4 linked regions of the Arabidopsis thaliana genome follow. The protein of the gene in region 1 purifies or fractionates together with the protein of each later gene. This does not show direct contact. Each region holds a gene or a part of one and is shown on either strand. Other genes may lie near its edges.

The links.
Region 2: the proteins of ROF1 (region 1) and SIRANBP fractionate together in Arabidopsis thaliana (co-fractionation; one large-scale study listed by BioGRID). This does not show direct contact.
Region 3: the proteins of ROF1 (region 1) and PREP1 fractionate together in Arabidopsis thaliana (co-fractionation; one large-scale study listed by BioGRID). This does not show direct contact.
Region 4: the proteins of ROF1 (region 1) and RANBP1 fractionate together in Arabidopsis thaliana (co-fractionation; one large-scale study listed by BioGRID). This does not show direct contact.

What each region holds. Positions count from the first base shown.
Region 1 is NC_003074.8:9,185,135-9,193,033, reverse strand, and holds ROF1 (rotamase FKBP 1), read right to left. Parts: upstream 4,854-7,899; 5' UTR 4,778-4,853; coding exon 4,594-4,777; intron 4,510-4,593; coding exon 4,423-4,509; intron 4,241-4,422; coding exon 3,980-4,240; intron 3,892-3,979; coding exon 3,817-3,891; intron 3,725-3,816; coding exon 3,644-3,724; intron 3,555-3,643; coding exon 3,360-3,554; intron 3,276-3,359; coding exon 3,183-3,275; intron 3,069-3,182; coding exon 2,893-3,068; intron 2,801-2,892; coding exon 2,678-2,800; intron 2,602-2,677; coding exon 2,455-2,601; intron 2,360-2,454; coding exon 2,232-2,359; intron 2,101-2,231; coding exon 2,006-2,100; coding exon of another isoform or gene 2,004-2,005; intron 1,906-2,003; coding exon of another isoform or gene 1,903-1,905; coding exon 1,859-1,902; 3' UTR 1,615-1,858; downstream 1-1,614. Other genes in the region: AT3G25240 (sulfate/thiosulfate import ATP-binding protein, putative (DUF506)), read right to left, coding at 1-494. UniProt on the Arabidopsis thaliana protein: PPIases accelerate the folding of proteins. It catalyzes the cis-trans isomerization of proline imidic peptide bonds in oligopeptides.
Region 2 is NC_003070.9:2,189,623-2,196,363, forward strand, and holds SIRANBP (Pleckstrin homology (PH) domain superfamily protein), read right to left. Parts: upstream 4,215-6,741; 5' UTR 4,067-4,214; coding exon 3,912-4,066; intron 3,792-3,911; coding exon 3,640-3,791; intron 3,534-3,639; coding exon 3,408-3,533; intron 2,992-3,407; coding exon 2,738-2,991; 3' UTR 2,057-2,737; downstream 1-2,056. Other genes in the region: AT1G07135 (glycine-rich protein), read right to left, coding at 535-1,002; MAPKKK13 (mitogen-activated protein kinase kinase kinase 13), read right to left, coding at 4,657-6,156.
Region 3 is NC_003074.8:6,625,488-6,635,595, forward strand, and holds the start of PREP1 (presequence protease 1), read right to left. Parts: upstream 6,678-10,108; 5' UTR 6,388-6,677; coding exon 6,102-6,387; intron 5,836-6,101; coding exon 5,661-5,835; intron 5,287-5,660; coding exon 5,112-5,286; intron 4,984-5,111; coding exon 4,851-4,983; intron 4,771-4,850; coding exon of another isoform or gene 4,733-4,770; intron 4,721-4,732; coding exon 4,650-4,720; intron 4,428-4,649; coding exon 4,344-4,427; intron 4,248-4,343; coding exon 4,157-4,247; intron 4,046-4,156; coding exon 3,525-4,045; intron 3,448-3,524; coding exon 3,283-3,447; intron 3,213-3,282; coding exon 2,994-3,212; intron 2,922-2,993; coding exon 2,794-2,921; intron 2,558-2,793; coding exon 2,368-2,557; intron 1,707-2,367; coding exon 1,623-1,706; intron 1,535-1,622; coding exon 1,437-1,534; intron 1,263-1,436; coding exon 998-1,262; intron 909-997; coding exon 746-908; intron 661-745; coding exon 480-660; intron 389-479; coding exon 317-388; intron 233-316; and 2 more. Other genes in the region: PARC6 (plastid division protein), read left to right, coding at 7,323-7,625, 7,925-8,038, 8,116-8,253, 8,329-8,433, 8,525-8,647, 8,858-9,226, 9,329-9,424, 9,569-9,685 and 1 more. UniProt on the Arabidopsis thaliana protein: ATP-independent protease that degrades both mitochondrial and chloroplastic transit peptides after their cleavage. Also degrades other unstructured peptides. Specific for peptides in the range of 10 to 65 residues.
Region 4 is NC_003076.8:23,678,368-23,684,858, reverse strand, and holds RANBP1 (RAN binding protein 1), read left to right. Parts: upstream 1-2,923; 5' UTR 2,924-3,144; coding exon 3,145-3,296; intron 3,297-3,425; coding exon 3,426-3,577; intron 3,578-3,664; coding exon 3,665-3,790; intron 3,791-4,310; coding exon 4,311-4,540; 3' UTR 4,541-4,796; downstream 4,797-6,491. Other genes in the region: PMR5 (Pmr5/Cas1p GDSL/SGNH-like acyl-esterase family protein (DUF828)), read left to right, coding at 73-251, 325-483, 579-915.

The sequences.
Region 1 (7,899 bases):
ACGGCCTTCTGATCATTATCTGACGGCTTGTGAACGACGTCAATGAAATGGTAACTCCCAGCGATGAGTTTGGATGAAGAGGTCCATTTTGATACACAAACCGCGGCGTCGTGACCAAGCTCTCGCAGAAACGAAGCTACCTTATCCCGGAAAACAGTTTTGTTCCTTGACCTAAAACCGGAATATACCTCCACGGCTCTCAAAACGTGAGCTAGCAATAGATTCCGGTAAGGATCGGAATCGGAGAAGCTCACCGCCATTCTCACGATCTCCACACTAGCTTCACCAGAATGTTCAGCTGAAGAAGTCTCAGACAGGTCGGGGTCAGAGTCGTAGAATGACTCTTCAGGACCATCCTCAAGAAACCCGTGTACGAGCTCGCAGAGTCGAGGAGAATCTTGGTCTAGGATGTAACTGTGGCTGCTCAAGATCCGAGCCTTCGCGTCGTCGTCAAGTGGATCAGTGACACGTTTGGTTCTGGAGAAAATCGCCATAGATTTTTGAGTGATGATTGCTGAGAGCTATAATAGTGTGATTGATGAGAATTTTAGTGAAAAGTGAAAAGGTGAGAGAATCACATTTATAACTAAAACTTAAGTAGAGAATTTAGCTTGGAATATTCGTAGCTTTCTATGTTTTGTTTTTACCATTTATGGGAAGATAAAGATTTGGTTTAATAAAAAGTTTTATCTCATTATATTTGAGGTAAGACCGGTGCTTAGGAAAGTATATCCGATGGTACCTGAGGATTATTCCAGTCGTCAGATGTGGTGACGTGGACGGACACGAGATATAAAGCAGTTATAGAATATCCCTTTTCTATTCTTCTCACAAGAAAATATATCCAATCCATTGTAAAAGCTTGTCCGAAAAGTAAAAATATATTTGATGCAATCAATCATTTATGCCCTTTACTTTTATTCAAAATGAGCGAAGGTTTCAAGTGATTTCTAAAATCATGTCTCATTACCTAGGCATTTTCAGCAACTTTGGTGAGCTTATTTTTTTTCTTCTTCTGGTATTGGCCTAGTTGTACCTTTACCAAGAAAAGTGTTGTAGTTGTTTTGATATTTGTCGAGATCTCGTAAGGGAAGGTACCTTCCAATGATATGTCATATGAGATTGACCCCGTATCAATCTCATACGAGAAGCCTACTAATCCGACATGTACGAGATGGTTAGCGATCAACACTACTATCTAATGAGATCTCAGATGGCTCACCCTTACCTCTTGGTGGAATTCTTGAGGTTTTGGCTACGTTTGGTCTATGTCTAGCTTACATATAAATATGACAAAAAACTTCACTATATGAGGAGGGCTGGCTGGTATTGATCAGTGGGATATTTACCTATTCAATATCTTGGATTTCAACATATTATTAAGTAAACTAAGCGACATCGTTGCAATAATCAATAAAGCCTTGTGCACATTCGTAGAGCTCTTAAAAATTTGTTGGAGTGTGAAATACACTCTACGCGTACCACTAAAGATGATCTAGTTGTGATTGATTATTTGCTGCACGTTGAAACCAGTAGAATTAGCCGTAATTGCGAATCAGTGGTTTATGATTCATCCCGGTGGTATAAGTCCACCAAAGGTCCAACACAACGGCACAAGCAACTATTTTGTCTCGATATCATATTAAGAACTCAAATTAATCTGGAAAGTTAGGTTTTTTTTGCTATCAATAGCTCCAAGTTTCTACCAACAATCAGACGAAAAAAGCAACACATTGGGATAATCTCTCACTGTTTTATAAGTCTTAGTGTCTCACTAACGCTCAGGTTGAAAAACTAGAAAACATTGCAACAAACCAAAAGAGTAGAAAATGAAAAATGCAGAGTTCTTGCAACGTTTTCAAGACCTCAGGTGCTCATTGCCTCTCCATCTTTTGATTATTCCTTCTGCAAGTTCCCACCAATACAAGATTTGGTTATCATCATATTCCCACTAACTACTATCATCTACTTATAACATATGATCAAACCATTGAGATACTTACACTTAGTTTCGCAAACATGTTTCCATAAAATTTGGCTTCCTTTTTATTGAATTCCTTCATTTTCTCCTTCAACCTTTTCTGCTCTAGCTTCACTTCCCTATCATTAGCAAATAAAATAGCAAATTTAGTCTTCTGTTAGTATATAAAGAAGACATTATCATGCTGTGGATTAAAAGATACAAAAGCCAAATGTAACATTAAATAAGAGTTAAAGAGTAAGAGACAAACCTGTTGTTGGGATCGATTTCAAGGGCCTTCTTGACATCAAACTCGGCCAAGTCTAAATCAGACAACTCCATGTACGCTTGCGCTCTCCGGTATAAGGCCTTCACATTGGTGCTTTCTAGCTCTAACACCTAAATACCAAAACCACCATCTCCATCAGTTTTGTTCAGCTAGGCTTTAAAACTGACATAAAGGACTTGTGGTCTTAACAACCAATTATTATTACCTTTGTGCATAGTTTTTCGGCCTGCTTGTAATCTTTCAATTTGAGTTTGCAGGCTGCATCGTTTAGATTGCATGCCACCTTCAATGCTTTTGCTTGCTTCTTCTCTTCCTCACTGAAGGATGTGTCGTATTCAATGAATTTGACAGCCTGAGAAGAAACTTAACCATGTAAGATGTTGTTCGACTTATAACTCATAAAGCAATAAGTAGTTCGTATCATATACCTTCTCATATCTCTTGGAAGCCAGGGAATATTTGCCTCCTTTAAACTTGGAATTTCCTTCTTCCTTCTTCTTACTAGCAGCTTCAATCTTCTCCTCAGTGTTCATGTCCCACGATTCCCTTTCCTAAAAAGCCAATGACAAACAAGTGTTGGACTCTTATACTTCCATATTGACTGAATTGTGAGCGGCATAAGCATCCAAAATACTTCACTAACCTTGTCGAAAGTCAATAGGTCAACCTCATAAGTAACAGTTGAGTTTGGCGGCACCACAGCCAATTCCTGTTGTGACTCATTAGAACCAAAGGCATACTCAGGGTCTATGGTCACCAATGCCACTTCACCCTTTTTCATCTTCATGACAGCTCTATCAAGTCCATCGACAACTTGCTCTGTTTAAGCATCCAGTAAATGAGTTACCATGACTAAGTAAGCCATGGAAAATCCAGCACATCCAACTATCCAAAGGAAAGTTATCAGAAAAATACTAGGAACTGTGTAGTTACCTTCATCTGTTTTGAACTCAAACGGTTCCTCATTCTCACCATGACCTTTCTTCAAAAATACAGTACCATCTTGAAGTTTCCCTATCAATTTCACTGCCAGAAAGAAACAAATGAAACCCCGTAAGAAACCGTTATATCTGGTGAAGACATGAGTGTACTAAAATCCGAAATGCAAACCTTTCACAACTGCCCCCTCGTTAGGACGCTCATATCCATCCCCTTCCTTCAAGACTTTCTTCACAACCTTGTTATCATCAGTTACTTCTGACACTGTTTTCCACGAAACTAACTCCAAATTGATCTCGAGCGTCGCATTAGGAGGAACCGCGCCTTCACCAGCAGAGGCTGGCTTGCCCTTCTCCCCAAAACCATCTGTCTCATTCAGAAGCACATTGGAATAAGAGATGATATACACACCATACCAGGATCAGTGAAAAAACAATTGAGACAAATCGTCTTACATTGTGGTTTAACTGTCAGAAGGACCTTTTCACCCTTTTTCATAGTTTTCACAGCCTTAGTAAGTGCAGGGCAGAAATGACCTATTAATGATCATAGATCACAAAGAATGTCAAAGAGCGAATACATTATCCAACATATCCCATCATATCTTAAAAGAATTCAGAGCACTAACCATCTTTAACAGTGAACTCCACACCATCAGATTTCCCAACAACAGTACCATCCTCAAGTTTCGCCTCAAACTTAACTGAATTAACAAATACACAGGAAACACCGTTAGCAAAATCAAACACACACCAACCTCTAAAGCAGGCCATAAGAGAGTGAACACACACCAAGAACTTCATCAAGGTCCTTTGGATTCTCCCACTTCTCTCCAACAGCAAGAATCTTCTTAAACACACCACCATCTTTACATATATCCTTCACACTGTCCCATTTAAGCAACTCCACATCAAACTGAAGCGTAGCATTCGCAGGAATAGTTGGCGGGGAACCAGATTCCCCATATGCTAGCTCCGCAGGTATAGTGAAAACAGCGTTTTCACCTTTCTTCATCGTCTTAATACCAATATCCCATCCTTTAATAACTTGACCTGCAAAAACACAATGCCAACAACCACAAACCATTACACATTCATCAACAAAAATTCGATTTTGAACTTAACAACAACTATATCTCAATTCAAGTTCATATCTATCAAATTAGTCTACCGAATTCTCCAGATTACTAACTATACGGAAACTATTAGGTCTTTAGGAGATGAGAATCACAAACCTTGTCCAAGAGTGAATTTGAAAGGCGTTGCTCTATCACGACTCGAATCAAACTTCGTCCCATCAAGCAAAGTTCCAGTGTAATGCACTGCAGAAACAAATCAAGCTCAAGCTTCGATTCAAAAAAACCTAAATCGAAAAGCATTAGTATCTGAATCGATTAATTAATTACCTTCAACTTCATCGCCATTCTCAGGAGTTTCATATCCTTCACCTTCTTTAAGAAGCTTCTTCTTCAAACCTTGTTGGATCTCTTTCTCTTCACCGACTTTAAGAAACGAGGCGCCGTCACCGAAATCCATGTCGTCGTCGTCGTTCATTCCACCGACTGGAGGCATCTCGAAATTAGCATCCATCTTTTTCGATTCAGTTCCAAACAAAAAACGCAAAGAAGAAGAGAAGAAATGGATTGGTGAGATTTATACGAGGTTGGGTTTTGGGTGAAAAAGAAAAAGGGTTCTAGAGAGTTCGTTAAAAAGATGGTTCGAGAACACAGATGATCCGTCACTCGTAAATTTATATTGGGCTTAACTATTCACTTATTTACTTTATAATCGGCAAAATTGTTGGATCAGGCCCAACAAAATTGGTTATCTAGTAAACAACTAAACATGATCCCAAATTATTACCAATGGTAAAAAGTAAAAACTAATCAAGCAAAGCAAAATGGATTATCACAGTACAAATCCAGAACAAATTCAAATCCATTTGTGGTCTTTCAAGATTTTTTGCTTACAAATTATTAAAAATTCTCTAGGTATAGATGGATACGTTGCAAATAAATAAATCTAGAATTGAGTATTAATTATCCCCCTAAATTTTCATAAGTTACAAGCTTGAATTCATTATGTATATATATGAAATTATAATCCATTTGTCATCCTCAATCATATTTTTTTTTTCGTGTTTTGTCTCTTATACACTCACTTTCTTTTAAATCTAATTTACTTTTAATATACTATAACATATATATATATATATATATCACTTTTATTAAATAAAATTGTTTTCTAAAATATCAAAGCTTTGCAATATTGAAGCAATTATTTTTAATATTTTCCATTACAAGATTAACAAAAAAATCTTGAAATTAAAATTATCATCCATCAATCTCAATTCAATTAAAAAAAGCGAAGAGGAAATCAAATCGTGAGAGATATAAAGAAACCGTTTTTCGCAGGAGAATAGAGGAATTGGATTTGTGAGTCTTTCTACATGAGGTTGAGTTTTAGGTTACGGAAGATTCTAGTCTTCTAGAGAACTCCTTAAATCATTTATTCGAAAGGTGATGACAGAGTTAAGTGACAGAAAGGTGGTTCCAGAACACATATGTTCTTTAGGTTCTAACGTCGTTAAAATTTTTTGCAGGATCATATCATATTCATATGTGTTGACTACGTCGGCAATATCTCTACATTGGGTTTTGACTAATAACTATTCATTTTGTTTTTTTTAACTAATGAGCAAAAGTATCATATAATACATATGTGGATCGCGCCCAACAAGGCTAGTTATATAGTAAAGAGATTTCAAATAGGAAAATGAAATTCACAAATCAAGTTGTTTATGCAAAATAAACCATATCAAACACATTTCAAGGAAAAATACGGATTAAATGGTTCAAAAATATATGGTAACAATAGATCAAATAATTTATATCAAAATATTTGGATTTTTTGCAAAACAATCTTCCAATTCGTTAATTTTTGCAAATTTATCTTATATTTCTCAAAATTACAAATCAATTTTATGCAGTAAAAAATAATACACAATATAATTTAATCCTTATATGTATATTCTAAATGTTTTTACTCTAATATACATTATATTCTAAAAAAATTCTAAAGTTAAATTTAGACTCCTCCTTAAGCTAAATATCTACATATACATTTTGCAGCCATTTTGTGAAATAAATCTTGGAGTTGGTACTTATTTACAATAGTTGCCACTGAATTTTAATTATCTGATTTTTCTTTTTAATTAATAGTTTGAATTTTTTAAGGCAATTAATTGTGTAACAAACGAAAAAGATTCGAAATATATATGACAATCCCATATGTCACACAAAACACAAAAGCACTAACTTTAGGGGAATCATATGAAGACATTAAGCATCACTATTTTTGTGATGTTCATTGAAAGATAGCAGAATACCATATGAAGACATATATGGCAATATACCAATAAAAGATAGACTGATAATCCAGAGGAGGAATTTTCATTTCCAACATTGATCGCCACCTACGCTGAGGTCGAGATCACCGAGGGGAACACAACCGACGTAGATCGATATAACCACCACCGTACAAGACTCATTACAAGAAAAAAAAGGAGAAGACATTTCCACCACACTTCCCAACTTTAGCAAAAGATAATGTTTGAACTAGATGGTTAGGTAGGAAAAAAAAACGAGCAAAAATATGCAAGAAGTAGATGGTCGACTAATTAAATTGCACTAGACTTGGAAGTTGGAACATAAGAGCACATAAGTGGGTAACACATTGCGTAGGCTGATTCTCCGAGATCCCTTCTTTAAAGGATCCATCGACTCCAAAGTCTCCAATGATGTAAGCTATGTTGCGCTTATCTTTGTAGTCTTTATCAAAAACCACAGCGACTTTCTTCTCCTCGTCAATGAAGAAACTCCCCAAACAAAACTGAAACGGAGGGCCAATGAGTTTTCTTATACTCACTGATAAGAACACCTTGCTGTTCCACGACACCGCGTTGGGCTCAATCGTAGACGTAATCCAGATCTCCATCTTTTATTTATCCCACGGCTGATATAAAACCGCAAGCTGCTCTTCTCTAACATTAGATACACACATAACATCTTCAGATTTAACAAACACAAACGGAAGAGTCAAAAGAGGCCCAAATGTCTCTCTTGTGAAATCAAAACAGACTAAGAAATAATCGTCTGTTTCGGAATATCTCTCAGTAGCAAACCAGTATGCATTTCCCTTGAGAGACACGCCAAGGTTCATATAACTTATCGTCCAATCTGGAGTGACATCAAGAACCCTCCATGAATCAGAGTTAAAATCGTAGATTATGAACTCATCCATAACCCTCATCCAGTAAGTAACAAACCTCAAGATTTTGTGGGATTAGCTGCTAGCTCTTGTTGTATCCGAGAGCATACATATATTATACCTATTGAATATGTGGCAGTTATGTGTGGGTTCGATCGTACGGGTATGTCCCCAATCATACGGGTTCCAAACCACTAGCCTAGTCTTGTCTTTGGTGATGCTGATGAATAACAATAAACCGTTGCAGTGAAAGACTTGAGATATATCAACTTCATCGCCTAAACTAATAAGTTTAGCTTCACGTTTTATACATGATGATTCAACCTTGTTTTGAAGATTGACTCTCATCAATTAAACCCTAAAATTCATCATCACGACCATCATAAACTCTCTTTCCTTTGCAGCTAATTTTGCTTGATCACCAAGGTACTTCTTTGCAAAGC
Region 2 (6,741 bases), on another chromosome or scaffold:
AATATTTCGTATGCAAAATCTTTGAAAACCATATGTATTGCGATTTTATTATTTTGGTCTTTATTTCAAATTTATTAGAAATTTCTCAAGAAAAAAAGATAAGTTAAACGCTGAGTTTTACCATCATTAGTCTTTTTTTTATATAATTGATAGTCTAAACACACAACAGAGGAGAACCAAATTTGAATCTAATAAGCCCACAATAATTGGCCAATGAAGAATAATAATAATCATGATGATTAAATCATCCATTGGTCACTTTAACAAGTTAGCGTTTAAAAGATATAACGTTTAAGATTGAGGGAGGTTTAAATTTCACAATTTCTTATTTCATTAAATTTCCATTTACAAATGGCATACTAAAGATAACTCACTCTTAATACTACCAGTAGAATCCTGCTAAGAATCTCTTTCTACATATAATATTAACAGTCTACACCTTAATGTACCGTTTGCCCAAATAAATATCAGACCGGACCACAAACATAAACGTTACAAAACCAATAAATAAATGGCCAATAATTACTCTGAACCCTACTGAACCAAGACTAAACCGGCTAAAACCGATAAAGCCAACCAACAGACCGCACACATTGTTCCTCGAAGATTCATGCTGCCGCTTGATCTATGTGATCCTGCCGATCCACCACCCAGACTGCCATTACCACCACCCGTATGAATCGGAACCACCCCTCCGCCGCGTTTCCAGTCACGGCTGCGGCTACTACTGCTGCCACCTCCTCCTCCCCTGCTCCTACCGCCGCTTCGTGCTCCACCGCCTCCGCGTCCTCCACCTCCTCCACCTCCTCCTTTTTTGATAACGACAGCTAATTCCCGAGCCTTTCCTTCAAACACAACAACGTCTGGCTTTGAAACACTAAAAGGGAGAGTCTCGTGGTTTGTATCGACTGAGGAAGGTCGTGAGCTCACGGAAGGAAGATTGTGCTGAAGATGAAAGATGAAGAGAATGTACAAAACCAACCATGTTCTTCTCAAACCCATTTTCTTTATCTTTTCTCTTGTTTTGTCTGTATTATATCTCACTTTCCCCTTTGATCTATTTATATAAGCCTCAGAAAGAAATTAAACGCGGCAAAAGTGGTTGCCAGCAGTTTCGACGTAGTCTCTCATTATGATGCTGCCACGAAAATATCCAAAAAAGATTTATTTCTTTTTTAAAAAAAGAAATATCCAATAAAGATTTATTATACTTATCCATATTTATATTTATTGACCTTTGTTTTAAACAATATAGATTTTATGAAGGAGCACACAAACTAAAAAAAAAGTAAGGTTAATTAGGAGATAAGTGTTTCCAGATGTCGTGGATGGAAAAGAATTAATCCATCTAAATTCATTTCTGGTATCATGTTAATGAAAAATCAGTTAGATAGCAAATAGAATAAAAATGAAGGAAATAAATAGCATGATTATAAAAAGGTTTGGCCGCGTGTACAAGTTGACTGTCAGGGTCAATTTTGGGTTATAGAGCAAAGAAAAGTGGACCATATTGATGACAACTTTCACATGTCTACCATTCTTGATTTTCAGAATTTGAATCTTTTGATATGTTATATTCCCTAAATATTTATCAGGAAATATCTTATTACAAAACCTGATATTTTCTGTCAATTTGTTTTTTTTTTTGTAAATTATTTTTTAAATAGCACACAAATATTAATGTGTTTAAAGTTAGAACTCAAACCAATTTATTGCGATTTTCTTAAAGAAGTTTAGATAATAAGACCTAAAGTGAAAACAGAAACTATTTTCTTCTTTTTAGGGTTTACATATATTAAATTATAAGTAACCTGTCATCTTTTTAGTGAATAATCAATTTTTTTTTCCATAAAAAAATCTTACAAAAAAAAAAAGTTGACATATTTGAATTTATCCAATTAAGGGGGTATAATTCAATCAAATTAAAATTTAAAATCCAAATTTAATAAAGTTTGAAATCCAAGCAATTCATTGTTATGTTTAAATATGGTGTTATAGGAATGGTTTATATGTTTGTATTATTCCAAATTTATTTTAAAAGTGTTATAAATTTAATAAAATCTTAACCTAAGCATAATCCATTGTTATTCATTCACATATGGTCTTACTGGATATGATTTATATAAATCATGCTTTGGTAATTTTAGCACAGTATAGTACAATGTCATTTTTTTTCCGTGAACAGTTCGTTATAACTGAAGAATTTTATGAATACTGTTAATATACATTTTGGATCTTTATCAGGGTCAAGACTAGCATCGACTAACACAAGAGAGCAAAGTAGATTGGCAATTACCTTTTTTTTGTCAAACAATTGGCAATTACCTTAAGATTAAAAAATCACATGCATTAAATTTTGAAAAAAAAAAAATGGAGACTTCTGATTCTTGTCCATGGACAAACACATTTGTATCCTCAAAATAAGACCATCCAAAAAGGATCCATGAGAAAACTTAAAACAATGAAACCAATGTACTCTTTCAGATAACCAACATGAAAAAATATTTCACCCAAATCTCTCATATCACCCGACACTTTAGACTCAAAAACTATTAGACCCATAACGACTCAGCATTCAGTAAAACCCGACCCCAAGCGATCCCCCAACCACTTGATATGACTCGACAAAACATGTATAGATAGATAGTGCCAAGACAATGGTAGACTCATGATGCATCAAAACATTTCGAGGCTTAATTACCTCGCCAGGATTTGGCAACTTAAATGATGACGCTTCTTATGTTGAGGGACCACTTTCTTCTGTTTTCTTTGCTTCACCAGATTTCTCTGCCTCGCTCTCTTTCTTTTCTTCTGCTTTCACTTCAGTCTTTGCCGTCTCCACAGCTTTCGCTTCGGTTTTCTCCTCCGTTTTTGTCTCTTCCACAGTCAATTTCTCAAGAAGGCCAGCAGTGTCAGCGGCATCTTTGCTCTCTTCTTTCTCTTCTTCAGACTCAGCAACTTCCTTGAACTTTTGCATAAATGTTTTGCAATCTGACAAGGAAAATAAGATTTGATTACCCACAAGCATCTCTACTTTTCCCGGTTAATATGATCAACAGCTCAGAAACTACTGATAATATTTACCCAAAATAAAAAAAGAAACAGTCGACCATGTTGGCATATCAAATTAGTTGCAGCCTAAATACATACTTGACCACCTCAAGAACAATATTATCTCTTTACAATGCAATACCACAACCTAACCGCCACAGTACTTATTTTGATATTTCCTGAACCCAATAACGCATGCCTATGATGGAAGCTTTGAGAACCTCCAATTAACAAAGTAGCCATATAGCAATGCTAAGGTCAAGATCCATCAGTAATCTAATCCGTGAATCTATCAAACCAACTGAGACTAAATAAGGCAAAACACAAGCCATTACAAAATTCGGTTTCATACTCACTCTCAATAGAAGCAAATCGGATACAGAAAAGCTCATCCTTGAGTTCACCATCAGCAAAGTCACGAGCGTGCCACACACATGACTTTTCATTCCCAACGTGTTCCTGAACACTCATGCCCGATTTAACTGCAGAAATATCAGAAGCATAAGACTAGATAAGGAAACAGTAACCTAAATACAGATCCAGATGCAACTCAAAAACAACACAAAGTAGTCCAAATAGAAATTATACCGAAGTGATTAGCACAGATCTTCAAAGTTTTAGATTGCCTCATAACGAGACGAATCTTCCCAGTGTTCTTATGCTTTAAGAACTTCACAGTACCAGCTCCTCTCTCCTTCCACTGATTCGCATCCTTATCGAATCGATAAAGCTTCGATTTCCTTTAGATTCACAAACAAAAATTCAGTCAAACACACCAAAAGCTAAACCTTATAAATTCGATCAGATCCAGTTGACCTAGATCAGAAAAACTATAAACACCAATTAAGAAAAACACTTACAGATCAAGGACGGCATCTTCGTCTTCCTCGCCGGTAGTGACGGCAACCTCCTCAAGCCTAACGATCGGAGCGACCTGAGCTCCGGTGTCCTCATCCTCGTTAGCTCCGGCCTCTTCCTCGTCTCTGTGCTCGTGCTCGGGTTCGTTGGTCGCCATAGTATTTACTGAGATTTCCTCGTGGATTCAATTGGTCGCTACGGTGCGGCGTACGCGAGAGAGATAGAGAGAAGAGAATTTGGGGGTTTCGCAACACAGGAAATCGGAACGACTCATAGTTATACGGCGTTGAATTGAAGCTAACTATGGGCCGATTTCTTATGACAAAAAATATATATGGCCCATATAAACCCATTGTATCTGGGTTATTTTTAAAGCTATTTATCTCAAGGGAAATTAATCCTTTTTTAGAGAAATCTTAATGATTTATAGCATAGAGATTAGAGAAAAATCTTAAAGATCGAAAAAAGAATATGATGATATGCTTGAGCTAAACTCTATGTAACGACTTCGTTCAGTTTGATACATAATCGTACATGCATAACCTTGGTCCTTCAGGCCTAGTCGAAACAAACAACCATCTTCAACCGGTCCGGTTCCCTCTATGATTCATTTAAATGCTCCAAAATCCGAATACTTATTAGGATGAATCAAAAGTCTTCTAAAGCATAAAACCAAAGTCTCTTTTGGCCTCTTGAGTCTTCCACCAGCTTACGAACCAAAACCATTTGTCGCAATATTTTTTCACATTAAAATACAACTATTTGGCTGTAAACGAGAGTTATCAATATAAGGCAATGGCTCGTAATTAAGACACTCGATCTCATCTCACCGCGTAAAAGATAGTTTTGTCCGATCCGAATCACATGTGCAAACAAACAAAACTTGAGGCTGTGATTAAAAGACAACGTTTCGAGTTTATTGCTTTGATTATACTGATACAACAAATACATAGTGAGAACAATTTCCCTAAAGATACATGTAGTATAAACCATAATTTCCATTAATAAATGTAAAACCACCACAAATTCATATGGCAGCGCCGCCGCCGATCCCCCGTTTCCAGGCGGTAAATTCTGAGACATAGAAACGTCAATTATCGCCGAGTCACCAGCCACGTCATCGTTTGGATCCGATGATGTGTTATATTCCGATTCTACCCTTGTGGATCCCGAATATTCCATTGTTGTCCCTTCCTCTTCCGAAGCGTGGCATCTAACTTCCACCCAACCATCTGACTCCCAAATTACTCCTCCGGTCGTCGCCAAATTACAAATTATTGCCTTCGCCGCGTCTTCGAATTCTGATCTCCCTACTTCCTCTTCTTCTTCTTCTAAGTCAAACCCCGAGTTGACCCAGTCAAGTACGCAACGCGGAGATGACTCAGTCGGAGATGAGTTGTGACACTGAGAGAGAAATGGATGCTGCAAAAGCTGATCGCAACTCCACCTCTGATTCGGGTCTCGCTTCAGACACTTTTCTAGGAAATCACGGCCGATTTCCGACAACTTCGAGGGGAAAACCGGTAACTCGTCAGAGAAACTGATTCGACTCAGCGAGTCAATTCCGTGGTCTTCCCAAGCGGGTTTCCCAGTGAACATCTCGATGATCGTGCAGCCGAGAGACCAGACGTCACTCTCCGGACCTTGGTACTCTCGTCTGATCACCTCCGGAGCCATCCAAAGCGGACTTCCACGTGGCGTGATCAGAGCCCTCGGTGTGTGGATTCTGAACGCCGACCCAAAATCGGCTAACTTGACCATGGAGCTTTGGCTGACGAGGATGTTCCTCGCCTTGACGTCGCAGTGAACGAATCCTTGAGAGTGTACGTGGCGGAGAGCAGAGACAAGACACGCCGTGTAACGCTGGAGCAGAGTCTCGTCTTCGATTTTTCCTCCGGCTCTGTGACTAGCCACGTCACCGTTTGGGAGATACTCTAAGTAGAGATTCCTAAACGTCGTCGTTCCTTCTTTCGAGACTCCGTCGCCGAGAAACTTCACGATGTAAGGGTGAGGCTTTAGCGAGCGGAAGACAGATATTTCGTTCTCGAGAGACTCTGATTGAGTGGGGAGACTCGTGGCGAGATCCACGGATTTCACGGCGAAAACTTCACCGTTGGTTTTGCTGATCGCCGTACTAACTGCACCGAAACAACCTCTGCCGATACACGCACCACGAACCCAAAAAGAAGATGGTGAGGATAACATTAAAGAAGAAGAACAAGTGTTTCTGATGCTCTGTTTCTCCATGTGTGCCAACTTTCATATGTCGTACTTGTGCAACACGAAGCTATTTATATGCGTGTTTTGGAACTGCAAAACAGAAAATGTGAACGTGAAATAAAGTTGCAATTTTTTTTGTTTCTGACATGGACTATTCTTGTACACTTGTCTTTTCGATTTGTAAAGTCTCATCTTTGTAAAATTTCCCACGTGGATATGTCATGTACAACACAAACTTTCGAGTCTATCATTAGATTTTTGAACAAATTATACCATGTTCGATGGTCGGTTTGGATTTTAACAATTTTAATTATATATACATCTATTGAAATCTAGACTTAATCCTTACAAATTTTTTACTTTTATGGAATGATTAGTCGTTTTGAAAAGAGAACAAATAAATCAGAAAAAGGATCATTTTAGAAATTAGAAGAAAATGTTTTATGTCACTCCTAATGACACTTGGAGAAGTTCTTGGGATGTTTTTAAGAAACAATGCACTTGCCCTGTCTCCTTAATCCTTATCCACCAAGACTCAAGTTGCGGTTTGATCTTGTCCGCTAATATTTTACTCAGCAAAGATAAAATCACACACACCCTCTAGCTTCACGC
Region 3 (10,108 bases), 2.6 Mb from region 1:
CAAGACATTGACTCCGGTAGAAAAGAAACCAAGAGAAATCTAATGAGATTCTCAATCGTAAATAGTATTACTGAAAGTTGTCCAATCTGTTTAGAGAGCTTTCTTCACCTCGAAAAAGTTGGAGCGTTCATTGTTCGCTGCATCAATGTCTTCCGCGGATGCCACAGCCACCGCAACACCTTTATCTCTAACCACATCTATTGCTTGTGCGAAATCCTTGAAGTCCTTCAAACTGTGGAACAACAAAAGTTAATTAACACTTTTAGTTAGGATGCAGAAGAAAATTTATTGAGAGAATGTCCTTAATTTAACCAACCTTGTTGTTAGTATCTCTTCACGCTTTCTTTGTCGTTCTTCGTCAGTTACTCCGAGTAAATGCCTCAACAAACTGGGTGAAAGAGATTCAACAATTTTGATTCAGGATCCGTTATGTTTGTTCAAATAGGCAAACAGAAACAAAATAAAATAACATCATTTACCTGCTATAACCTTTGGCATCAGGTAATTGGTATGAATCAACATCACCGATGGTGCCAATAATAGCTTTAGTGAGTGTTTCTTGATCCACATCAAGGCCACGTAAGAAATCTCCAGTTCCATCATATATATCAAGTGTCTTCAACAAGTTTGGATCCCGGTACGATAAGTAAGAAAATACTCCTGAACAAAGATATGGCCAATAGAAGAATATATTAATTGACGTAACTCTTTTCATATTCAAGAGAGTAGAAAGCAGTTATTGTACCTGAATGCGAATCGAAATCACAGAAACCTCCATATGCACCACCACTTACACGAACACGATCCCATAACCATGTATTGCTAATATGCTTTGATATAACATACGCACTGCCATCAAGCTCATACCCGGTGCTGTATATGTTACCCGCTTTTCCAACATAGTTTACCTGCAAAGGGAGTATGAGAGCGAGTTACTGTATCAAAAATAATAAACCCAACCACATTCTATATTACTATATAAACGTCTTTTTTTTACCTGGGTTGGTATTACAATGGCTTCATTTCTCAGAGGAAGTCGACCATCCCAAGTGACAAGCCCACCAGACGGGTTCTCAGGGAGTAAATCTAGAAATTTTGCAACAGATTTTTCGACATTTGTGAGAGACTTCCCATCAGCAGTCATATTAACTATGCAACCGTTTCTAGCAAGGAGAGATCTTCTGATCTCCTCAAGCGAGGATGAAATTCCTTCCCAGTCTTCATCCACTTTCTTTTCAAGAGTATGTAAAAATTCAAGATAGCTACAAAAGAGAGATGCTCAACTTTGTTAGGTTCTACAAGTATCAAAAGAATAGTAGAGATAAACTCTAAAATGTGAATAAAGTTCATTCTCAACAGAGATCAAGACCAGAGAGAGAAGACGATATAAATAAGGGCCAAATTAAAAGTTAAATAAACAATTATCAAATTCCAACCTGAGACCACCCATCTGTTCAGACATCCATCCAGCAATGTTCAACATTGCATCCATCCTCGCCGCAGCAATTCCATGACCACTTCCCCTCAATCGGTTCTGCATAGAATGTGAAGTGATGTTTATACTACTACTTTCAAGTTCCACTTATCATGCAAAGACAGAAAAGAAAACCCCTACTACATACCTCCATCCGTGCTCTGCTTTGAGAGACAAACTGTTTAAACCTCTGCTGATCTGTAAATTGAACCTCTTGCAACAAGCAGTTCATCTGCAGGAAGACAAAAAGCAATGAAGATAAGAGCCAACCTAGAAGTTTGACAGAAAAAAAATCGAATATGGGATTGAATAAATGTCTAGTTGGATCATGGTACTGATTCATGAAAGACACTGAACATTTTGAAAAGTTCTTCAATCACCATACGCTACAACTGTTTCTATATCAAGGTTACATTATATCTTAACAGAAAAAAACAGGTTTGCAGTCAGAGTGACTGTTACCATAATCCAGTAGTCATAGGCTCATAGCGAAGACATCGAGAAAACATCAAGTACTTCTTAGAGAAGAAAGAGACAAGGGCAAAGAGATGAGAGAGGCAGCGCTTTTGTATTTTGGAAAAACAGGAAAAAAATAAAGATCTACACAGTGTCACAGACTCACAGTAACAGCTGCACTGTATCTCATGGAGACCCAAGCAAAAGAAAAATCTATCAGGTAGACAGCTCTACACATCCCATAACCTAACATACACAAATCTAAACACAAGCAAATTGGTAAACTACATTTAGCAAACTAACTACAGGGCCATGGAGACCGAAGAAAACATGATCGTGATCACGTAGGCAGCACTATATATCCCATAAGCCAACATACATAAAATTAGAGAAAAATGCGATAAGCTAAAGCAAGGGATTTTTAAATGACAAAGTACCAGGTTAAAAAGGTCGTCAGCACGCCCAGCCATGGATTTTCCGCGTACGATAATTTTGCTGCATGGTTCATCCTTACCCCTCACTGATGATGTAAGGGGATAAACTGATATCCCTCCCGTTTTCCTTCCAATCAACTGATTAAGTTGAACAAAAGTCAAATCTTTTGTGCCCATCTCCAGTAATGATTGACTGTCAAAATACATTTATTATCAGAGTTAGTATATCAATACAGTATGAACAGAAGTAAAACATTCGTTATTACAGCTGTCAACGTACACCCTAAAATATAAAAAAATTCCCATGCTTTTGAAAATGCATGGCAGAGAATCTAACAACATTCTTCATTTAGCATTCCCACCATACACATTTCTGGAAAAAGTTGGTAAGAAACTCATAAAGAAATCATAAGAAATCTTTAATCATACCAGAAAAGTGGTACTAGTGGAAGAAGCTCATGTTTCAGCGAACCAATATCAAAGACTACTTCAGTATAGATAATATCATTGGTGAAAAGGTCATGCCGCAAAACCTTCACACCATTAATATCTCCAACCTATTGTTTAAAACATATCAGTAAACTTCGCAAGCTCGGGAAATAAGGAAATACAACAAAAACAAAAGCAACCTCGGTGGGAACATAAGTAGGTTCTTTTGGAATGTCACCCAAGTTCAAACTTGGGACACATCTCAATGCTTCAGGAGGGTCAGGAGTTTCTTGTTTCAATTTCAGCTCCTCTGTAGCACGTGCTAGCTCTGCAAGATCTTCTTCTGTCATAGCTGCTTTAACTTTTTCCAGGATATTTTTCTCTTCCACTTCCTCTTGAGTAGCTTTTTCAGGATCAGGCTGGCAAAACTAGTGTTAGCACAAAAGCAAAGAAACATTATATAGCAACGAGAAACTTGTAAAAGATCACCTGCATCTCTATGGTAACACGATGCGAGTTGTTCAAGATAAGCTTCTCTATCAGTGGGGAAAAGACAGCCTTGGATCCCTCCTCAGCTATTCTGGTTTTCAGGGCCTTCAATGGTTCCGTATACTTTAATGGCTCAAAAGGATCCATATCGTATATCCATTTTGACTAAAAAAAACAATAATCAAATAAGGAGTGATACCTGAATAGACATACACGTAAGCATAAAATGCATATTAACTTACAATAGATTGGAGCATAAGTGATAAACCACGAGGGAAAGATCCTGTGTTGTTTTCCCTCAAAGAAAACTCAATTGTATTCATGGATGCCTCCACAGCATCATTGTCAAACCCTTCTTCTGCCAACTTTTTCAGAGTATCCATGATCAACTCTTCAACCTTTTGAACATTCTCTTCGGACACACCTTTCAAACCAATACCGAACTGGGGCTGCAAGAGTTCGTCTGACAACCCACTACTGACAAGAGCTTCTCCTAAACCGCTTTCCAATAAGATCTTTCTTAGTGGTGAAGCAGGAGTCCCCAGCATAAGATGATCCAAGAAGCCAAGTGCAAGTTGAGTTTGCAAGTCCAAGGGCTTCTCAGACAATAGCCAGTTAACGCACAACATATGCTTCTTTTTAAGGTCACCATCTCGACCAGCAGGATATTTCTCAACCAGTCTGACAGGCTCAGAGAATAGCTTTTGAAATTTAATCTTTGAACTATTGGGAGATGGACTTGCTTCAAACATATCCAAGTATTCTGCACATATAAGAAACGCAGGGATAAGATGTATTTCAAATCGACATAGACGACAAACACAAAAAATATGAGGATTCTTTCTAGTAAGACAAAGGAGATATCAATCTTTACCACTCAAGACACGGAGGCGGTGAACGGGATCATCATCTCCATAGAACCAGATCCTGGCGTTGCTTGGGTGATAATATTGACGGTGGAACTCCTAAAATTGTCCCAAAACAAGAAATATACTTAGTATGCATCAGAAGTTACACATTACAAGAAATATACTAGCATATTAATTTGACTTCTAACAAACCTTGAATTCCTCAAATGTCAGATTAGGAATATCTTTTGGATCACCTCCACTGTCAACACCATATGTATTTTCTGGGGATAAGGCCTAATAAAAGTGAAAACAGTAGTAGCTGATTTCATCAGAACCACTATATCAAGGAAATTCAAATATGTCTCAGATTATCTAACAAGGTTTTTGTTCCAAGTGTCCAAACGACTCTTTCATGATGGCTATATCATTTAGTTGATTAATAAGGTCAAAACCCAAGATCAGGTTAAACCAACAACGAGAAACTTCTAGTTATAGTAAGCAAAACACAATACTTGCCTGTTGAGCAATTCGCCCTAAAATATTATCAGGCTGTGAATAGACCCCTTTCATCTCATTAAAAACAACACCTGAAATCAAACATCAACAATGAGATAGGATGAGTGGGTATCTGAAGTAGCTGATAAACTAAAAGATATCATCGATACTAAGAAAAGTAGAGGAAAAGAGCTCTAAAATGGAATCCTAGGTAAATAAAACCTTTGTAAGATATGTCTTCCGAGGGATCATTAAGTTCATAGTGCCAGCCCTCTTGCTGAAAGGTGTGAGCGTCATCCACACACTTGGGGAAGAAGACAGCATCCAAATATACATCGACAAGATTGTAAAAATCCTACCATAGATAGTGATAGTGATGAGTTGTGATCAGAAATAGACTCACTTTAGATAACAATAACAGAAAGAAAGAGGTTAGCCCACTGAGGACAACAAAAGAAGGACTTAATGTTTGGCTCATTGTACCTTTGTATTGGTGGAAGCAACTGGGTAGCAGGTCCTATCAGGATATGTGAATGCATTTAGAAAAGTATGCAAACTTCCCTTGAGTAGTTCAACAAATGGCTCTTTTACCGGGTACTTTCTTGACCCACATAGAACGCTATGTTCCAGTATGTGCGGAATGCCAGTGGAATCCTTCCTGCATTAACAACGAAACTATGATCTAAAATTGCTTCCATTATTAGTTTTTGCAAGTCTTTCACAAGGAGGTGCCTGTGGGACCAATATCTACTGAAAGTGCAGTTGCTCATATCGACTTTTAACAAAGCGTTAAGTAATTTGACAAGTTGTAACCTCCAAAACTTAGACCACTTTACAAGTACCAATATATTAGAAGAAGAAACGAAATGACTAGGTCTAATCAGAAAAAAAAAGCTTTGATGAGTAGAGATAAACTTGACCATTTCAATTAGTTAAATTCAAGGAGTGAAGCTTTAGGTACCAATTTCAATTGCCTAATACATACTCAGGTCAAATTTACAGAGAGTAAAAATTATTATGAAGTAAACTTACGGAGGAGTTCTGAAAACAACACCGAAGACCTTGTTCTCATCCTCATTTGACACAGACATCACCTCGCAACCAGTTTTCTTGTGTTTGAAGAGTATCGCCTTTGATTTACACTCTGAGATGAATTCTTCCGACACTTTTTCAAATCCAAGCTTCTCAGCCTCATCTTGACCTACATCTGAATCCAAACAACCAAAAATAAGGAAAATCACGCATCAGCAGAGGTTACACATGGCTCCATTTGATTACAAAGTAGACACAAAGCATGAGATGAAAAATGCACCACACGGACCACACCTATCTACAATTCACAACCTATCCTAAAGTAAGAACCACAATTTCACAAGTGCCACAAATCAACATGTCCGAATTAAGAGAACAAATCAATTAGCAATTAAACTTCAAACAGATTGAAAAAAAGAAGTATATGTGAAAAATTCCAACCAGGATAAAGTGGAGCGGGTTGTGTGGCGACGGCGCGAACAGAGAGGCGAGAGAACTGCCCATTGACACTGCGAACTGCGGCGGAGGGAATCCTCAAACCTCGTCGGAGCAAAAGACGTCTACCGGCGACTGAGGGAGAGGAAATTCGGCGAAGATTGCGACTGGGGACACGGAGAGCTGCCGTCGACGATGTGAGAGACATGTAAGAGCGAGGGAACTGACGAAAGAAGCGAAAGAATAGAGAGGACGAGCTGCGCGAAGCTAAACAAGAGACGGTTCGGAGCATAGCTACCGGAAAAAAAATATTCCCGGCGGAGACTGCTACTGACGGAGACGAAATTAAGGATATTGCAAAGAAGCTAAATAAACCCAACGGCAAGAGGTTTTATCCTTGTGTAGTTGTGTGTTTTTGCTTGTAGAGGAAAAAAGTAAAATAAAATAAAATGAAATACCTCATTTCTTGTACAACACACAAAATTATTGTGAAAAATATTCTCTATTTTACTAAATTGGCATTTTATTTTTCTGAATTTTTAAGTCGGGACAAAAAAGAGGTGCTGATTTGCAAGAAAGGAAACGTGGTTCTCATATAGCCAAATGTGTTTGAGTGTTGCAATTTGCTATCCTCCAAAAATATAATGACTACAAAATATCTTAAATCTTTTTTCATGATATTAAACTTAAGTGAAAGTATTACAAAATCTGATCAAGTTAAAAGTTTACACCAGACATATACTTTCCAGGTATTTGATTCAGAAAAAATCATATTGATCAGATTTAAACAAATTTTAAATTATATATAAGTTTTTTCTTACACACAAATTAAACCTTTGATCAGTACTAGACTACTGGTAGCATGCGATGAGCTTGCAGTAGTTTCTCTCGCACATTAGTTATGGGCCGAGAGCTAGGCCCATGTCCAGGGACGGATAAAATAATCTTCCAGATGTTTCTTTATTATCCACGTGGCGTGATCACGTGACCACGTCTCGTCTCGTCTAGTCCTAGATTAGCAGAGCCTCTCTTTCGGCCAGCGGGTTACCTTATTATCGTCACAAGACGAAACTTTCAGAAAAAGGCAAAAATCACTGTCAAAACTCAAAAGCCTTGAGACCAAATTTCCGATTTTTTCTCCTCTGAAGAAATCCAACAAATTGTACCATGATTCCAGCTTCACTCTACTTCTTCTAGGGTTCGTTCGTTTTCTGGAGCTGTTGCGCAATGCCAGTAGCTTACACATTTCCAGTTCTCCCTTCTTCTTGTCTGCTTTGCGGAATCTCCAATCGCAGCACCAGCTTCGTCGTAGATCGCCCGGAGCTTCAGATCTCAGGTCTCCTCGTCGTTCGTTCTGAATCCGGTGAATTCTTCGGTTCTGGTTTATCTTTGCGGCGGTTTCAGCGAGAAGGACGGAGGAGGTTGAATGCTGCTGGTGGTGGTATCCATGTCGTCGACAATGCGCCGTCTCGTACTTCTTCTCTCGCTGCATCTACCTCTACAATCGAACTCCCGGTTACGTGTTACCAGGTATTTTGCTCCGACTGACTTACTTTTCGGAATCTCTGTAGATACTACTATCTCTCGCGATTTGCTACTTAGCTCCTCGTTGAAGTGCAAGTGGAACTTGTTTTTATCCTTCTAAATTTTGTTGAAATAGAAACATTTTCCTCCAATTTGTAGTCTCTAGCGCGTAGAACGAGATGGATGTATTGATTTGGCAATTTAATATTGTATCATAGTTCATTTCTGCAATAGAGTGTAAAGAATGTAGCGTTTCGTTTGTTAGACATTATTCCAGGATACTGTTAATTGTATTGATTTTGCAGCTTATCGGAGTTTCTGAGCAAGCTGAGAAAGACGAGGTCGTTAAGTCGGTTATAAATTTGAAAAAAACTGATGCTGAAGAGGGTTATACAATGGAAGCTGCTGCAGCTCGCCAGGTTAAGACCTATAGTATCACTAGAGTTGGACAGGGAATGTGGCTTCAGTTTCTTGATACTTTGTTCTTAATGTGTAGGATCTTCTCATGGATGTTAGGGATAAACTTCTTTTTGAATCAGAATATGCTGGTAACCTAAAAGAAAAGATTGCTCCTAAATCTCCTCTCAGAATTCCGTGGGCATGGTTGCCTGGTGCTCTATGCCTTCTTCAAGAGGTACTACTTCTGACCTTTTATTGCGTTTTATCCCTGCAAATGTTTTGTACTGATCTTTCTGCTACTATGCTTCAGGTTGGACAAGAAAAACTTGTGCTGGATATTGGCCGGGCTGCTCTCAGGAACCTTGATTCAAAGCCATATATTCATGATATATTCTTATCTATGGCACTTGCTGAGGTAAAATCAAATGAACTAAGAATGGGAACTAGTTATCTACTTTCACTATCCTCTGCTTCTTCTATCTCTAATATGTTTGTTTTCCATTTAGTGTGCAATTGCCAAGGCTGCTTTCGAGGTTAACAAGGTCTCTCAAGGATTTGAAGCTCTTGCTCGTGCTCAAAGTTTTCTGAAGAGTAAAGTTACTCTTGGGAAACTTGCATTGTTAACTCAGGTAACAGGTTCTACTGTCTTGCATTAGTATATATAAAGCTTCTCTGAGTTTACTTTTAGCCCTGTTACTGGCTTGAATTATTAAAAGTGCATGATCATGCCTTACTGTAAATCGCATCATGTTTAGGAGCTTCACATATAAGTACGTATTGTCCAAAAGCATAATTTACCAGCATATTGGGTTTTAAGGGGTTAAAATTGATATTTATAGATTGAGGAGTCACTAGAGGAGCTTGCACCACCTTGCACATTGGATCTACTGGGCCTGCCACGCACGCCAGAAAATGCAGAGAGGAGGCGAGGTGCAATTGCCGCGCTACGCGAACTGCTCAGACAGGGCCTTAGTGTTGAAGCTTCATGTCAAATTCAAGACTGGCCATGCTTTTTGAGCCAGGCAATTAGCAGGTTATTGGCCACAGAGATTGTCGATCTTCTTCCATGGGATGATTTAGCCATTACACGGAAAAATAAAAAATCACTGGAATCCCACAATCAAAGAGTTGTTATTGATTTTAATTGTTTCTACATGGTGTTACTTGGTCACATCGCTGTTGGATTTTCAGGCAAGCAAAATGAAACGGTATATCTCGTTTTCTTTCCTTTTGTTAAATTTAGACTGATTGGTCCATTTCTTCTCTACTCTATCTGCTTATAAAGCATAACATTCAGTATGCTTGTGTAGATTAATAAAGCAAAAACGATATGCGAATGTCTCATAGCATCAGAAGGTGTTGATCTGAAATTTGAGGAAGCTTTTTGCTCATTTCTTCTAAAACAGGTATTTTTCCTCTTGCTTTCTTTATTCTTTTTCCCTATCAACTATGCTTGTGCATCTTATTTACTTCAAGTTCACTTGCTTCGAAAGATCCTTGCGTTGTTCATTTAGTTAAGTGCTACTGGACCTACATGTTGGATAGCACAGGGTTCCGAGGCAGAGGCCCTGGAAAAACTTAAGCAGCTGGAATCAAATTCAGACTCTGCCGTTCGTAATTCGATCTTGGGGAAAGAGTCGAGAAGTACTTCTGCTACTCCCTCACTGGTAAACCTTATGATTTTTACCAAGAATATGTGTTCATTTGTTGCTACGACTAGAGCGAGGGCTATGCCTGATGTAAATGGCATGATCAACTCTAGTGGAGTATGAATAAGTTTGAGCTATGTTTCAGGCTGTAATTGAAACAATGGAAATAGATACATTTAGTGGATGGTAGTTAAATTCATAGAATATGCTTTAACAGCATTGTGTATGCCTGCCGTTAACATTTTCTTTTTCGATTGGTTGTACATACACATAAATCTTAATATTTGTTTGAGTAAGCCCTTGGGTTCATGCACTAAATTTAATTTGGAAATTTTGCAAGTATGTACATCTCTTCGCTAGCTCTGATTTTTTTTCATAGAAAGATTGATAGCGACCTTCATACATGCTACCTATAAAATTGACCAGGAAGCGTGGCTAATG
Region 4 (6,491 bases), on another chromosome or scaffold:
CTTCTTATTCTTCAATGGCTCACATCTTGTTTTTCAGGTTCTTCTATAAGAAAACTGTTTTTTGATGTATAGGATTATGGGATAACAATGTCATTTTACAAAGCTCCGTTCTTGGTGGACATAGATGCTGTTCAAGGCAAGCGTGTGTTGAAGCTGGATGAGATCTCTGGTAATGCCAATGCTTGGCATGACGCTGATCTCCTCATCTTCAACACTGGTCACTGGTGGAGCCACACCGGATCTATGCAAGGGTAAGTTACCACACTTCCAATGACTTGATTTTCTAGTGTGAAAGTTTCTTTATATATCTTCTTGTGAACACAGATGGGACTTGATTCAATCAGGCAATTCTTATTACCAAGACATGGACCGTTTTGTGGCAATGGAGAAAGCACTTCGTACTTGGGCGTATTGGGTCGAAACTCACGTTGATAGATCCCGAACACAAGTCTTGTTCCTCTCCATTTCTCCAACACACGACAAGTAACTCAGCCTCTCTTGTTATATTGGATCATATTTTCTGATGTTTTTGAAATGAATGTCCTGACACCATTTGTATACATTTTGGGATTGATCAGCCCGAGTGACTGGGCGGCATCATCGTCTTCAGGATCCAAGAACTGCTACGGAGAAACAGAACCGATCACAGGAACAGCTTATCCAGTGAGCTCCTACACAGATCAGCTAAGATCAGTGATTGTTGAAGTGCTTCACGGGATGCACAATCCGGCGTTTCTTCTCGACATAACACTCCTCTCTTCCCTAAGAAAAGACGGTCATCCGTCAGTATACAGCGGCCTCATTAGCGGTTCACAAAGGTCTAGACCAGACCAGTCTGCAGATTGTAGCCATTGGTGTTTGCCTGGTTTACCTGATACATGGAACCAGTTGTTGTATACGCTTCTCATCTATTAGCTTCTTTTTAAATCTCTTTCCATCAAATTATTCGGTTAGTAATATTTTAACACATTCGAAGAGAGAATCTTAAGATTAATCACGGAATCAGTCAATTGTATAAACTTTTTGAGGAAATTTTCTTTCAAATGAATTATAATTTTTATTCCATGCAAACAAAGCATAGTAACAAGAAATTTAACAATGGCAAGCCCAAAACAAACAGTATTGGGCTTTTAAAAAAATACATTCGATGGGCTTATTGGAAAAAAGCCTTTTAGGGTTTTCTCAAAACCTCTCTACTATAAATAGAGGAAATCCAACTTTAGAGTTTAAGAAGAAGCAATCCAAAATCAATTCACTGAAAAGCTTCGTTTTTAATCCTGTAGTTTTCATAGGGTTTGGTGTTCTCTCTATTGTTGTTATTGGGCTTGCCTTTTGTCTAGGATTATCATGATTTATGTTTATTGAAAGATTGGCTTCATCAGATAGTCTATGTGGATTTGTTCGTTCCCATATGATTCGTTCCCTTGAAGCAAAATCAATCGTGTTGCTTTCGTTATTTATATAATTCTCCCTATGAATCTTCGGTGATTTCGTATTTATACGATTTTTGCTGATGTTGATTTGGGAGAATCACAACTGAGCAGCTATATATTATTCGTATTGAAATCTAGATTTGGGTTTTTGTATAAGTTTTTGGAAGAACAGTGATGAGTCAGTTTACAGACCTGTAATGATTGCGGTAATGATCGCATTATTATGAACATCTAAGGGACTGAGTTCTTCTTTCTAATATGATTTAACAACTTCAATTTGTTTTTGTTGGTTAATGTTTTTTTGTTTAATCTGATAAAGAGGCTGATGAAGATTAGATATTAATGGTTACTGAAATTTCAATAAGTGTGTTGATATACTATCTTCTTGACTAGGACTGCTGAGGCTAATCTTTGAATTCTAAGGAATTATGTTTTCTCTTTTTGATTTAATGAAATTAGATTGTGGATGATGAGAACAAATATGAAAAAACAGTTATCCCTGTCTGAGGATTTTAATCCCTTTGATGATTCATTTGTAATCTGACACAACCTTCCAGTTCATATCGTTTTGGGTTTTGCTTGTTGACTATTTATTTCAGACCCTAAATTATACAAACACGAAGATTTGTCATTGAAACAACGCAGCTTCATTCAAAAACGGATTTTAAAATTGGAAATCAGACAAATGACTAAGCGGGTCCCTTTTGACTTTAGCATCAATATTCAATATTACCGTGCCAGTAATAAGAGTTCTCGAGTCCATGAAATGATGTTGTATCAGTTTTCGTTCAGCATTTCAATAAATTCACGATGTTTTGGTCAAAATATCTTACTACCTATCGACTGTTATCGGACTTCAGGTTCTACTCTTTGAGTCGTCGACAATGAAAACGTTTCTTTTTCCTACTGTAACGAGAAGGCAAACAAGTGGTATTTTGTTACGATAAAAAACAGGTCAAAAAAAAAATTTGTTAATTGAATGTTTAACACGTTTCCAAAATTTATAAATGTTCATATTCAGCTTACATTGTACTAGCATCGGCAGTAGTTGATTGAATACTAGTGTCGAGTGACATCAGCTTGATATCAAAGCATGATTGATTACATTATATAATATCCATTTGTAAATAATCCACCTCTCAAAAAAAAAAAAATTAATAAATAAATAATCCACCTCCGTTCATATATAAAGATTGTCACGGTGGTCTACCTTAACACTACAAAGGCAGTCCACGACTGAGAAAAAAAAAGCAGTTCAAATTTTTTTCGTATGTGTTAAGGATGGAGTACATTCATAGAGCATCATCTACATTCTACTCCAAGATAAATGTGGAGTATCTGTATTACTTTTAGTTTTGTAAAGAGATTATACATAATTTAAATATGGTACATTACTCATTACAGGTCTTTGAGCTGTGGCGTTCCTTAGCCATGATGTTTCATCCTCTATATTGTCGATACGAGTTCACACTTTCTAGCTTCATCTACATACCAAAATCATGAATTGTCGTATAGGGCCTTAATGGGCTTAAATGACCGAGATAATGACCTGTTAGCCCACTAGAGATAATTCAGAAGCCTAACTTTGGATATAAAGTTTAAAAACCCTGGTTCCAGTTTTTTCTTCTGGTTCTCGAAACTTCTTCTCCCAAATTGAACAACCAAAGAAGTTGCAGAGCACACACACACACTTTCAAGTTTCAATACAGAGATGGCGAGCACTGAGCCAGAGCGTGAGAACCGTGAAGATGAAACCGAAGTCAACGAAGATGAAGACACCGGAGCTCAGGTAGCTCCGATCGTTAGGCTTGAAGAGGTTGCAGTCACCACCGGCGAAGAAGATGAAGACGCCGTCCTCGATCTGTATGTTACTCGTTCCGTTAATATTCTAGTTTCCTTGCCTCTGGTTAAAGTGAGTGTTGGATTTTCGATAGAAGATGAGTGTCGGATTTTTGATAGAAGATGTATTCTTCTGGGTTTATGATTTTGTAGGAAATCGAAGATGTATCGATTCGATAAAGAAGGGAACCAATGGAAGGAGAGAGGAGCTGGAACTGTGAAGTTATTGAAGCATAAGGAAACTGGAAAAGTTCGTCTTGTTATGAGACAATCTAAAACCCTAAAGATCTGTGCCAATCACCTCAGTATGTTTGATTCTCTCTCGAAGAAGATCTTTTTTTTTTTTCTTCGAAAGGGCTAAACTTTATGTATCTTTTGTTGAAATTATGCAGTTTCGTCTGGGATGAGTGTTCAGGAACATAGTGGGAATGAAAAGTCTTGTTTATGGCACGCTACTGATTTCTCCGACGGCGAGTTGAAAGATGAGCTTTTCTGCATTCGATTTGCTTCCATTGAGAGTAAGTTTATACTTGTGAAATTCGTATACTTGTTTTTGATTGAGAGTAACGTGGGTACATTTAGTAGTATTCGATGTTTAATTTATGATAGTTGAATCAGGGAAGATGGTTTGGAAGGTATTCTTTATAAGACTCTAGTTGTGATGATTTAAGTCTCCCATGAATTGTGATTCATCAAGTCCATATAGATAGCTCAAGACTGAAATGGAATACTGCTTTTGTAGTGGCAATACTTATAATGTTGCCTCATTTTATAATTTTAGGGAGACATTGTTGTCTTGAGAATAAACATCTCAGGCCATTTTCCAAGACTCTGTTGGTCTCTGCGGTTGTGGGTCTTATCACTAAACAAATGAACAAAAGGGTTCCATGATCCTTAAGTTGTGCTAAACAACTACCATAATCGTATCTATGTTAAATTAGACGCTGACATAATCTATGAGATTAATATCCTAGGGTCTGCATCTGTCTTTTTGGTTTTAGATTCTCGAGTGGCTAACTGATAGTGTTGCATCAACAGATTGCAAAACATTTATGGAGAAGTTCACTGAAATAGCTGAAAGCCAGCAAGTAGGGAAAGAGAGCACCCAGGGCGACGAGGCTGCTGGTTTAATAGAGAATCTTTCGGTTGAGGAAAATATAAGTGAGGAGAAAGCCAAGGAAGCAGAAGAGAAAGAGCCTGCAAAGGAAGATAAAGAAACAAAAAAGGAGAAGGTAGAAGAAGAGAAGAAAACAGAGGCAAGCACTTAAGTGATCAAATTAAAATTGGTTGTTGGCATCACTAAGTGTGCTTTGCTTTATTTTAATATATTATACTTGGCACTGAACATGATGGTAGCTTCAAAAGTTTGAGTCTTTGCGCTGTGTTAGAGAAAGAGAATCTTAAGATTTTTTTTTATGTTGTTGCTGTGTAAGTGTTTGACTATTGTGTCGTCTCTTTACTGTGTCAATTTGGTTTAAGATAATAGTATTCGGCATCAAATTAGTATCCTTGCTTTCATCTTCAATCATCCGAAATGGATTTGTGGCCAGCAGGTTACACAATCTGTAATTGACATGTTTGGTGTTGCAGCAAAGGGAACAATCATGTGGTGCTTCTAAGAAGTAAAAACTAGTTAGTTAATTTTGGACCCAACAAATTTGTATGGACCCTAAACCTATAATTCGAAAGGCTCCACCACAAATAACACCATGTTTTAAGCACTTCTCTATCTCTCTTTCACCATTTAATTTCCTCTGACCATGAGCTGTTCCTGCATTGAATATCAGATTTTATCTTTTATGCCTCATTTCTAAGTACCCTTGTATGTGTTTTTCTAAACGTTTATCTTCACAATAGCACTAGTAAGTGGATGTATGATAATTGATACTTTGATGTATGTGCCAACTATTTCTTACATACAATTGTACATTGTAGGCTACAATTTGTAGCACAACTATATTATTACTATTTACTAGAAATGGCGAAAAAAACAAACAATACCGAACATCAAAGTCGAAACTAAACTTTTATAATAAATCATATTTTTTAAAAATCATATTTTAGTTAATTATATGCAAGAATACTTATATTTATATGATTATACGATTATATCCAAACCAAAACCAAAATAAAATGTGGTTTTCTAACTCCGACTCATTTCTCAAAAGTGAAAAGAACCCAAAATGCTTAAACCAAACCAAATCAAGGAACTGAACGCATAAAGCTAAGAGTTACAACATGACCAACAAGGAACAAAAGAAAATAGGTCAAAAAGAAGTAAAGAAGGCTAAATGCTTGGAAGTTGGAAAAATAAAGGCCCAAAATAAGGAGTAGTGTTGTGGTGTTGGCAACTGCAATTGCAATCCTTATTTTATGGGAAGAAGAGTCACTTTTGGTCAATAAAGTTCTTATTATAGACTCCAAATCTCTCCCCCCCCCCCCCCCTCACCTATCTACATTTATATCTTTCTTATTATTTCCATGACTGCCATTTTCATGGAAAGTCATTTTCTCGCACCTGTTTGACAAACAATTATTATACCACTCAAGTACAATACCTGCACTTCTATGTGAATAATGCAAAAATATAAGAAAACTCTTAAATGACCCTTAAGCTAATCGAAATTTAGGAAGCATTATTCTTTTATTCTTTAGTACTATAGTCTATAATATTGAGAAGTGAAAAAAATTATCATTTTAGAGAATCATGGGGATTTGTTCCCTCCGTCGCCTTGACGAGTCACTTAGTTTTGAAGATTTACCATCAAAGACCCTCCTCGGCTCCTCGTGGTTAGGTCCTGCGCACATCGAATATATATGTCGCAGGTATAGATGATATGATACTATAATATATGCTTTTTAAGAAAAACGAATAAAAGTAGTAGTATAAGATTTGATTAATAGAGAAACGTGTAAAGAGGTTTTGATGAAAAAATTGCATAGCGTTCCTCGTCTTCTACTTTTGCTTTATGTTCACGTAAAATCTTCCGATCTCTCACCCTACTTGCCTTCTTTTCTAAGCTAACTTTCATGTGACATCCATTACCTACTTCTCTTGTATTATTACCCATTTCTGATTCTCATTTGTTTATATAGTTCTTCATCTTACTAATGACAATTTAGGAACGCAGGATTACTTGATGTATTAAGACTATTATGTAATTTGTTTAATGACAAGGTCATGTGTTGAAGTTGAACCTAAAATCGAGTATATATATA